3 linked regions of the Arabidopsis thaliana genome follow. The protein of the gene in region 1 interacts with the protein of each later gene in a pairwise test. Each region holds a gene or a part of one and is shown on either strand. Other genes may lie near its edges. The genes, in order: AT2G01175, AAP5 and PIP1C.

The links.
Region 2: the proteins of AT2G01175 (region 1) and AAP5 interact in a protein complementation assay, tested with the Arabidopsis thaliana proteins (one large-scale study listed by BioGRID).
Region 3: the proteins of AT2G01175 (region 1) and PIP1C interact in a protein complementation assay, tested with the Arabidopsis thaliana proteins (one large-scale study listed by BioGRID).

What each region holds. Positions count from the first base shown.
Region 1 is NC_003071.7:104,439-108,195, reverse strand, and holds AT2G01175 (uncharacterized protein), read left to right. Parts: upstream 1-1,904; 5' UTR 1,905-2,124; intron 2,125-2,400; 5' UTR 2,401-2,435; coding exon 2,436-2,624; 3' UTR 2,625-3,312; downstream 3,313-3,757. Other genes in the region: PAP1 (phosphatidic acid phosphatase 1), read left to right, coding at 82-1,014; BAT1 (bidirectional amino acid transporter 1), read left to right, coding at 3,734-3,757.
Region 2 is NC_003070.9:16,766,026-16,769,782, reverse strand, and holds the start of AAP5 (amino acid permease 5), read left to right. Parts: upstream 1-2,097; 5' UTR 2,098-2,559; coding exon 2,560-2,647; intron 2,648-3,063; coding exon 3,064-3,297; intron 3,298-3,344; exon of another isoform or gene 3,345-3,524; intron 3,525-3,598; coding exon 3,599-3,692; intron 3,693-3,757. UniProt on the Arabidopsis thaliana protein: Amino acid-proton symporter. Stereospecific transporter with a broad specificity for glutamate and both neutral and basic amino acids. Reduced affinities for asparagine and valine.
Region 3 is NC_003070.9:225,575-229,331, reverse strand, and holds PIP1C (plasma membrane intrinsic protein 1C), read left to right. Parts: upstream 1-1,788; 5' UTR 1,789-2,155; coding exon 2,156-2,483; intron 2,484-2,640; coding exon 2,641-2,936; intron 2,937-3,020; coding exon 3,021-3,161; intron 3,162-3,250; coding exon 3,251-3,346; 3' UTR 3,347-3,667; downstream 3,668-3,757. Other genes in the region: AT1G01630 (Sec14p-like phosphatidylinositol transfer family protein), read right to left, coding at 1-126. UniProt on the Arabidopsis thaliana protein: Water channel required to facilitate the transport of water across cell membrane. Its function is impaired by Hg(2+).

The sequences.
Region 1 (3,757 bases):
GAGAGCCATTCTTTGTTTGTTTAGATCCAATTAGAAGAAGGTTTAGTTGACTGTGATGATTGTTTGTGTTTTTGGTGGCAGGACCAGGAGGCGCAGAGAGGGAGGATGCAGGAGATAGATCTTAGTGTTCACACTATAAAGTCCCATGGAGGAAGAGTCGCTTCTAAACACAAGCACGATTGGATCATACTCGTCATCTTGATTGCCATCGAGATAGGCTTGAACCTCATCTCTCCTTTCTACCGCTACGTGGGAAAAGACATGATGACTGACCTCAAGTACCCTTTCAAGGACAACACCGTACCTATCTGGTCTGTCCCTGTGTACGCTGTGCTTCTTCCCATCATAGTGTTCGTCTGCTTCTACCTGAAGAGGACATGTGTGTACGATCTGCACCACAGCATCCTCGGGCTGCTCTTCGCCGTCTTGATAACTGGTGTCATCACTGACTCCATCAAGGTAGCCACCGGACGCCCTCGTCCTAACTTCTACTGGCGCTGCTTCCCCGACGGCAAAGAGCTGTATGATGCGTTGGGAGGTGTGGTATGCCACGGCAAGGCAGCTGAGGTCAAGGAAGGCCACAAGAGCTTCCCGAGCGGACACACTTCCTGGTCCTTTGCGGGGCTTACATTCCTTTCCCTTTACCTCTCTGGCAAAATCAAGGCCTTCAACAATGAAGGACATGTGGCGAAACTCTGCCTCGTGATCTTCCCTCTGCTTGCCGCTTGTCTTGTGGGGATATCTCGTGTGGATGACTACTGGCACCACTGGCAAGATGTCTTCGCAGGAGCTCTCATTGGCACCCTTGTAGCCGCCTTCTGCTACCGTCAGTTCTACCCCAACCCTTACCACGAAGAAGGATGGGGTCCCTACGCCTATTTCAAGGCAGCTCAAGAACGAGGAGTCCCTGTGACCTCCTCCCAAAACGGAGATGCCTTGAGGGCTATGTCTCTGCAGATGGATTCAACATCTCTCGAAAACATGGAATCTGGCACTTCCACCGCTCCCAGATGATCCTCCTCTCTTATTATTTGATTCATTATTTGGTTTTTCATTTTGATTTGGCCGTCGTCGTGAGATTGTGAATGGTGTAGCTACATACTGTATGTGTATTCAAAACTCTACTTGTACCATTACATTTTTGTAAATCCACTCTTCATGAAATTGACGTTTTTCTGGTGTCCGAGAGGCTTGGGTCGCTCGAATAATCTCGTCCAATAGACTAATACGGCTCTAGTGAACACGGTATTTACATGTTTGTGATCTAAACTGAAATCAGTTATTTCTTAATTCGTAATCATTCTTGGGTTAACATTTTCTCTTATAATCTGATGGTTGAAGATGGCAAAGCCATTGTTAGCATAGCCATAGCTGGTTCAATCATCCACAACACTAAATTACTCGAGCTCTCCACATGCGTAATCTCTCTTTCTCTCTATTTCTCCCTTCGTTTCTCTCATTCTTCTTCTTCTTTTAATTTCTGGGTAGCTATTATTTTAGTGTAGAACAAAGTTTGACACTTGTGCTTACGCACATGCGCTGCCAACTATGCTGCAGGTATTAAATCAGTTCTGAAAATATTGAAGCACAACTGGAAACCGTTTCTTTTGTGCACTCAAGATATTAAAATGGTTCTCTGTTTCTGAAAATATTGGAACAGAACTGAAAACTGTGTTTTTGTCATGCTAGCGTATTGTTATATTGTGTTTTATTGAGCAAATGATGATACTAGCAATTCAAATTTCATCTCTTCTCTTTGTTATTATGAATTTCATGCTTGTATTGGAAGACATTATTTTGCAAAAATTTGATTTTTGTTTACTCAAGGACCCATTGTTTCTTAACCATTGGAGTAGAAATTTGTTAAAGACTCTTATTAGTTTCTTAACTTACAAAAAGCAAAATTTTAATAAAAAAAAAAAAGTTAAGGATCATGGTTAAGGACCTAACCAATGGGGATGGTCTTAGCTTCTGATCTCACTGGTCTTTGTTCGATTGAATCAATCCAAGTTTCGTAAGTGGTGATGGTAGGTAATCGGAGCAGCAGCGCATGTAACCATCGGCAGTTGTCGAAAGCTTGTATAGTCACATACCTCCCTCATCGTCTCTTCTCAGTGTCGCCAGGTAAATCTTCTCAATCGTTTCTTTTGTATATTACTCATAGAGTCGTGCGCTGTCTCTCCCTGAGAAGGTTCAATCGATTTCTTCCGATTGATGATTGATGTATCATAATCAGAACAAAGGTTATATTTCTGAATTGGATGTGTCTCTGAAATTATAGCGGATGTTGTATGTATGGGAACACAAGAGACCAATGATGATGCTAATGTTTGATTGTCATCATTGATTAAGTGAACTAATCAAGCAGAACCATGATTTGTTTTACTTTGTTGGTGCTAGTGGTTTGGGGCTATCTCTGTTTCTAATTCGTATATATGTTATGGAGGTTAAGAGGACTCTTCAAGCTTTATGGGCACTTGGGTTTCTTGGTTCTTTGGCTACTTGTGCAGCCCTTGCTAGACCAGCCGGTGATAACTTGGTTCATTATGTCGTTGATCATCCATCTGCTGTTTGGTTTGTTGGTCCCCTTTTTCAAAGAAGGTAAATATCTTGCTTCTGCATAAGGCTTCAGATAATGATTTATTGTTCTTAATCAATGAGCATATATGATTTATGTTTGTGGTCTACGAAATTAGTGTATTTTTAGATGTGTTATGTAATGTTGAACAACATCACTAGATTTGTTTTGTGTGTCTCATGTTAGAGGATTTTTGGCTTCGGTTTGTTTGTTTCTTTCTTCTGAAACACTTTTGTGTCAAGTCTTTAATCTTCTCTGTCTCTCTAATGTTATGAAGAAGGAGAGTTCAAAGATTGTGGTTATATAATGTTTTAGCATTACGAGTGGTTAACAAGAGTTAGTTAATGTGTTATAAATTCTGTTGCACGGATGAGAGTCTGATAAAATGGAATTCAAATCAGAGAAACCAGGTTCAGTTTTTCCTCTCAATATTGCATCAAATCTTTTTTAGTTTGTTTTGGATAGCAAATCTTTGATTGTTAGTCTCGAGACTAACATGATTTTGTGGATCGTGGTAACATAACCACAAAGTTGTCTATTTTATGATTTGAACATTCTACACAGTCATCCTCATCAGTGGCAAATTAACCAGGTTTGTGTATCAAAGAGTAGGCCATGTTCTGAGTATCTTCAAGAAGAGGATGATGTTTTTTTGTATAGTTTTTGTCTTTGATATGTTTTCAAATGAATCTTGTATACTTTGTCATATTTATTGTCATGAATCTTTGTTATTCAAAATGTGTTTATCAAAAATGTATCAAATTTTTTGTATAGTTTGTCTTCTCTATCTTTCTTTTCAAGCAATCTAAACTCAAATACCAAAATATTTTTTCAAATTTGTCTTTCTTAAGAATTCCTACTATTGGACATGAATATTTTTGAGAGTCCCTAAGCTAGTCCTTAGCTTTATATTTGTCAAAATTTATATTAGAAAATTCTTAAGGATTCCTTAAGGATCTTAACCATTGGGGTTGCTTATTAGTTTTTTTATATTACTTGAATTACATATTTATTTAGTTTAAAGAATAAATAATAATAAAAAGACAGTTTGGAGGGGTATGTAAAAAGTAATATAACAGAAAAATAAATATCTTGTCTGAATCAGAGAGAGAGCTCTCAACAACCAAAGCTTTGGACTCTCAGGCCAGGAAGACTATGGGATTGGGCGGCGATCAATCC
Region 2 (3,757 bases), on another chromosome or scaffold:
CAAAAATTAATCGAACTAATACTATTTAAAACCGAACCGAATACCCAAATGCGTGGACCAAATATAGGCAACTCAGCTTTAACTCCAGACACAAAATCTGGTGTCAAACACGAGATATAATTGCACATTGAATACAGCTATATCAAAGCATGAATTTTAAAAAATATATTAAGAAAAACAGATACTTTGATTTATTTTTCATCTATATATATTTTTTTTTGTCAACTTTTTCTATCAATATACTTTTCAGATGAATTATTGGTTTTCCAACAACATCGTTCTGAAAAATCAAAATGTTTTCCAACTCAAATAATAGATTAGATGTTCCAATGATTATATTAAATTTCCTATTTTTTGGTAATTCATATATGCAGAAAACTTCGGAAAACCATTGCACAGCAATAAGCATTTAAAAAAAGTGAAACCCATTCTATCAATGTTATGTTGAAAAACTTCATCTAATTGAGGTGTATTTTGCATGTTCATACAAAAACTCCAAAAATAAAATTGAAAATAATCGAGAATATTTAACATTGTTATGTAACTTCAATTTGTGAGAATTTATCAACGAAAATAGAGTATATATAATATGACCAAACTCATAACAGGCAAACACCACTTTACATAGTTTCCACTTTCATTTCCTCAAACCAACCGAAAGTTTTTAGAAACATAGTAGATATAGACAAAGAAGTCCATGGTAAACGTTAATTATTTAAATAACTATTAAATAATAAATTAATAAAATATTTACTTTATCAATTTGTTTGTAATTATGGTTGAAAACTTGCCCATCAAAATTTTAAATATATTTTCTTTTTCAAAATAATATCTAATTGCCTATGATAAATGATTCTAAAATAGTAAAGTATACCACCAAATCGTTCATTTATACTCTTTAGAAATGATATAACGACAGTGTATTTTCCAACCGAATGGTCGGTGTTTCCAGTGTATTTGAAAGAATTTAAGAGCGAGAAAGAAAAATTTATTAGCATCTCTTTATTTTTAATTCCTCGGAATTGGTTCGTTTGAGTTTAATTAATTCCGGTTGACAAAAAAAAAACAAATGATATAAGGAATTTGAAAAGTTAAATCCTCCGTCAACTTTCTCTTGACATCAAAAGTACATATAACATAATAATCAATAATAATGAAAAAACAACTATATCTCTAATTATAATTACTTTAATTTACTCAAATACTCATTAAATTAAGGACATGAATCATTGTTTTTAAATTTTAAAATTAAAATATCTATATTTTAAAGGTAAAAATCTTAAAATTTGGTTTGATGTTTAGCTTTTATGGAATTTTTAAGAATTGAGATTAATCCTAGCAATTCTAGCAATGTTATGTTGAAAAACTTCATCTAATCGAGGTGTATTTTGCATGTTCATACAAAAACTCCACAAATAAAATGGAAAATAATCGAGAATATTTAACATTGTTTTGTAACTTCAATTTGTGAGAACCTATCAACCAAAAAAGAGTATATAATGTGACCAAACTCATAACATGCAAACACCACTATACATAGTTTCCACTTTCATTTCCTCAAAACCAACCGAAAGTTTTTAGAAATATACTAGATATAGACGAAAGAAGTCCATGGTAAACGTTAATTATTTAAATAACAAATTAATAAAATATATACTTTATCAATTTGTTTATAATTATGGTTGAACACATGCCCATGTTAAATATATTTTGTTTTTTTTGAGTAATGCCTATGATAAATGATTCTAAAATATTAATATAAGTATACCACCAAATCGTTCATTTACAAATGATATAACGAATTTCAAAAGTTAAATCTTCCTTCAACTTTCTCTTGACATCAAAAGTACATATAACATAATAATCAATAATAATAAAAACTACTATATCTCTAATTATATATTTTCTTAAATTACTTTGATTTACTCAAATACTCTTAAATTATAAGGACATGAATCATTGTTTCTAAAATTTAAAATTAAAATATCTATATTTTAAAGGTAAAAATCTTAAAATTTAGTTTGATTGTTTAGCTTATATGTAATTTATAAGATTTGACATTTTGCACTTGTTGTCACTAATGTATAACAATGAAACCATTTTCTCATAAAAAGATAAACTATTTTTGTAGTCCTCACAAAAAAAAAAAAAAAAGCACATGCGGTTTCCTCTGCTTCTTCCTTCTTACAAGTTGGATGTCTCCGTCTTCCACGGTGCTTATAAATTAGTGAAACAACAAAAGCTTTGGTCAGTATTTATATTATCATGCATTTCTAATCTCTACTTTGTCAATTCCTATACTTTCACTCTCTTCCAATTATATAATCTCTGGTCCATAGAAAACATCGGTCTCTTGTCACCGTTGATTTTATTTGGTCAAAATCATTCTTCTTCTCGCTGAATAATCGTTGATTTCACTTCTTCTTCTGGTCTTAAAAAAATTCAAGATCTATACGAGAAAACACAAAACAAGTAAAACTTTTTCAACCGTTTTTCCTGTCGGTAAAGTTTGGATTCTTCTTAGTAAATTTTGGTCTTATTGTCGACCAAAAGAAGAAGATGGTCGTTCAGAATGTTCAAGATTTGGATGTTCTTCCGAAACATAGCTCGGATTCATTCGATGATGATGGTCGTCCCAAGCGAACCGGTAATTTCTCTTTTTTTCTCTAATTTTATGTTTTATGTTTCTCTAATCTGTTCAAACAAGAATCAAAGTAAATATAAAATTAGTCTCTGTTTCCTATAACCGGGGATTTGAACCCGAAACCCGGAATTTTTTTAATTCCGGGTTTCGGGATACAAACCGAAACCCGGAGTCTGTTGAACTTGCAATTTAAAACATCTACAGTAAATATATGCATAGGCTTTGTTTGTTAAGGGGTGACAAATTCCTACTTCTTTTTTTGTGTGGATGTTATGGAAAAGTATGATTTTTGTTACTAAAGTGTATGAACACTATTGTTACTACAGTTGTTGTCTTAAAATTAACGGTTAAACAAAACAGACTTTATTGTTACTACAGTTCTTGTCTTAAAATTCTGTTTGAATGTGATTGGTGTTTAGGGACGGTGTGGACAGCAAGTGCACACATAATAACAGCAGTAATTGGGTCAGGAGTGTTGTCATTGGCATGGGCCGTTGCTCAGATTGGTTGGATTGGTGGTCCAGTGGCTATGTTACTCTTTTCTTTCGTTACTTTTTACACATCTACCCTTCTCTGTTCTTGTTACCGATCTGGTGACTCTGTTACCGGCAAAAGAAACTACACTTACATGGACGCTATTCACTCCAACCTCGGTAAACAAAAAAAAAATCATTTCGGTTTCTTTTTGGTGCATATATTGGGATATTGAACCGAAGATCGACGGTTGAGATGACAAGGCCAAGATATAACAAAAAGATATTATTCTAGAAGATAAATGTTAATATTGAAGTTTAGAAAGTTTAACATTTATCTTTTAGAATAATATTTTCTTGCCGTATCTTGGCCTTGTCATTTCAACCGTTGATCTCTGTCGATCTCTGGTTCTCCATATCGGTTCCATATCCCAATAGTTATTATCATCAAAAACTTAATTCATTCTTGATTCATTTTTAGGTGGGATTAAGGTGAAAGTATGTGGAGTTGTGCAATATGTTAATCTATTTGGTACAGCAATTGGATATACAATTGCATCAGCTATAAGTTTGGTGTAAGTTAAAACTTTGCTTTCACAAAACTCTTTTTATTTTAATTGTTCACATTTGTCCAAAAAAA
Region 3 (3,757 bases), on another chromosome or scaffold:
ATCTTGTCGGTCGCAGAGAGCTCTCATGATCCCGACTTTGCTCCTCTCGATCTCATCTTCGATCAACGGAACGGTCTTTTGCTCAGCTGCTGCTGCTGGTTCTTGCTTGGTCTCTTTGTTTTCCATTACGTTTCTCCTGTGAGCGACGACCAGATCTTGAAATTGGTAGAGAGAAGAAAGAAGTAGGATCGATCATAAATGAAGACAGCTGCTGAGAGAAAGATTTTAAGTGTCATTCAATGCAAAGTTGGGCTGCTTTCCCCTTCAATGGCGACGCTCACCAACTACTCTCTTCCTTACAAAAATTCTACTCATTTATTGACTAATCCCAGGTCCCCGACTCTACAGGAAGAAGACGATTATATCGTATTGGGCCTTATTAGAGCCTATTGGGCTCGAGTTGATTTGTCGTAAAGACTTGGTCTGTGGTTTAATCAATCTCTCATGCCTCAAAGTGTTGACTGATTCAGAGGCCGTTTTAGTGTTTTGAGCCCACGTCAGAAGCTTGTCTGTCGTCTGTGTGTATAAAACAAAATTCAATTCACGATTTTTTAAAATATTGATCGTATCTTTTTCCACATGTATGTAAGCAATGAAGGATCTGCTTCGTTGCAAAATATTAGTTTTTCTTTTGATAGGCATGTACCAACTAAGTACCAGCTACGTACACAGACAAAGTCAGTAACAATTAAAATTCATCAACCTAGTCATTGCTTGTTCATCAATCAACCTAATCATTTGTTTGCTTGTTAAATAACAATGCCAACGTTATTATTTCTATTTCTATACTATCATACATTCATACGGTCCACGCCTCTAACAAAAAAAGATATTGATAAAATTTAAAAGATAGATAATTCGATGAAATGAATTATAATGAAATGTGATTTGTACAACTGAGAAAGGATGTCATATACGGACTTTGGTCGGGACCGCCCCAGTAAACACCACCAACACATATTTGCCTCTTCAACCACGTGTCGTGATTCTGTTGGTTGGGCAGCTAGACGACTGTGATGTGTGTGTGTGGGTTGCGTTTCGAAAAATGGCAAACCCCACCACTAGTTCAATAAAAGGTGTTTCTTAATCATATAGTTTAGCTTCGGATTATTTGTTTCCCTTTTCAGTTTTTTAAAAATCGATATCTACAATAGAGTTAATCTGTTTATAAATTCAATTATTGTTCGGGTAAGACAACATCAACAAAACTAATAGGGTTTGAATCCTAAACACTAAACTCCATTTAACTAGTAAAGTATGGCTCATATAGCGTTAAAAATATGTGAATTGATAACAACAACAGAGTTTTGAATTTTATTTTTGTTAGGTTTGAATAGATTGATAGAAAAAGGAAAGTGGGAATAGGGAAACGAACATGTGATCACAGAAAAGCAAAATCCATTTCTGAGCTGGAAACCCCCGCAAAATTGAACCTTATCTCCAATTTTCATTTTCTTTTTTTCTAAAATATATATCGTTTAATTGAAAAACCTCAAATTCACAATCATTGTGATTATTTTGTCACTAGTAGTACACATAGTAATTTAATTAAACATTTTAAAAATACTCTAGGCCCGGCACAATGTTCGAGACTATGTTACTTTACATAAAGCAATCGCTTTCCACACACTTCTTTTCCTTTTCTTCTCCAACGGTCGGAAGTAAATTATTAATTCGTCGACTAGTCAAAAAGTTAGTCCTTTGTGAGTTTTCTGGCACTGTAATATTTTTTTTTACATTTCTAACTGCTGACTGAGTAGTACTCCTGTAGCAAGGCATTTGAGAATAAATTAGGTCAAACATGCTATCTTTATAAGGAGTTTCAGAATATAATACTAATAGTTAGCCAACGCAACAGAATTAGTATAAGCGTGGGTTGTGTTACATGATTAAACATCATCAAGTAGTAGGCTATTACAATTATTAACGTAAATAAATATGCTTTTACGAAGATCATCGTTATCCATGATTCCCTGTATTTCTCATTATTTAAATATATCATAATAGTTTCGAGACGTTAGTTTTTTTTGCTTTTTCTATTCTCTCTCTCTCTCGCCTCTATAAAACCATTCTTTCTCTATCTCAGCCACTCTCATTACCCATTGTAGAAAAGAAGAAAAAAAGCAAAGAACACTTGAACGTTTTCTAGATAGAGATGGAAGGGAAAGAAGAGGATGTTCGAGTGGGAGCTAACAAGTTCCCGGAGAGGCAACCGATAGGTACATCGGCTCAGACGGACAAAGACTACAAGGAGCCACCACCAGCTCCATTTTTCGAGCCAGGCGAGCTGAGTTCGTGGTCCTTCTACAGAGCCGGAATCGCCGAGTTCATAGCCACCTTCCTGTTTCTATACATAACAGTATTGACAGTGATGGGAGTGAAGAGAGCACCAAACATGTGTGCCTCTGTTGGAATCCAAGGCATTGCTTGGGCTTTCGGTGGCATGATCTTTGCCCTTGTCTACTGTACTGCTGGAATCTCTGGTAACCCCATTTTTTTTATCTTCTTAATACAAGTAGAATTGGTCTTTTGTTGCATGCTTCAAACCCTTGTAGCTCTGCTTTTAGTTTTCGATTTTTCTCAAAGAGATCTTAATTTAGAGTTGATTCTGATGAGTGTGTGTGTGTGTGTGTTTCACAGGTGGGCACATAAACCCAGCGGTGACATTTGGTCTGTTCTTGGCTCGTAAGCTGTCATTGACGAGAGCTGTCTTTTACATCGTGATGCAATGTCTCGGAGCCATCTGCGGCGCCGGAGTTGTCAAAGGCTTCCAGCCAAATCCTTACCAAACTCTCGGCGGAGGAGCCAACACAGTCGCTCACGGCTACACTAAGGGCTCTGGTTTGGGTGCTGAGATAATCGGAACCTTCGTCCTTGTCTACACGGTCTTCTCCGCCACTGACGCCAAGAGAAGCGCTCGTGACTCCCACGTTCCGGTATAATTTTGTTTTGATTCCTCTTAATTTATTGTTTTGGGTGTTTAGAAAAAGATTCATAATTTAGGGTTATTTTTTTTGCAGATTTTGGCACCACTCCCAATCGGATTCGCTGTGTTCTTGGTTCACTTGGCGACGATTCCAATCACCGGAACAGGAATTAACCCAGCTAGGAGTCTTGGAGCTGCAATCATCTACAACAAGGACCACGCTTGGGACGACCACGTGAGTACCCCATTACATCATTTGGTTGATTTGTCTTTCTATATGTCTTTGTCACTTTGGTTTGATTGTGGTTTGATTGTGGTTTGCAGTGGATATTCTGGGTCGGACCATTCATTGGAGCAGCTCTTGCGGCTCTTTACCACCAACTTGTCATCAGAGCCATTCCATTCAAGTCCAGATCCTGATTTGATTTCTTTCTTTATAAAACTTCATTGTTGCATCTTGGTTTGTAATTGAGCTTGAAAATATTTGAGAGATCTGGATCATGTGTTTATTTTAATTAATGGACTTGTCTTTTTCTTATTTGCTGTGGATGATCTGGTTTTATCGTTAAATGGAGTTTGATATTATGATTGATTTGGTACGATTTTAATTTTGCTTTTGTCGTTAGACTCGAGAAATTTTCAAGAGGAATTTGTTAATTTGATTTTCTTCTGGTTTGGTTCGGTACAAATTGAGTAAGATCCATATTGTTTCGGCTTGGTTTCTCGGGTCATCGACTCAACTAGTTTACGTGGTATTTAGCCCATATTTACATTGGGCCTCTTGCGCACTCTTTATGGGCCACGTTAACCAAGTGGGTATTAAGCCCATTT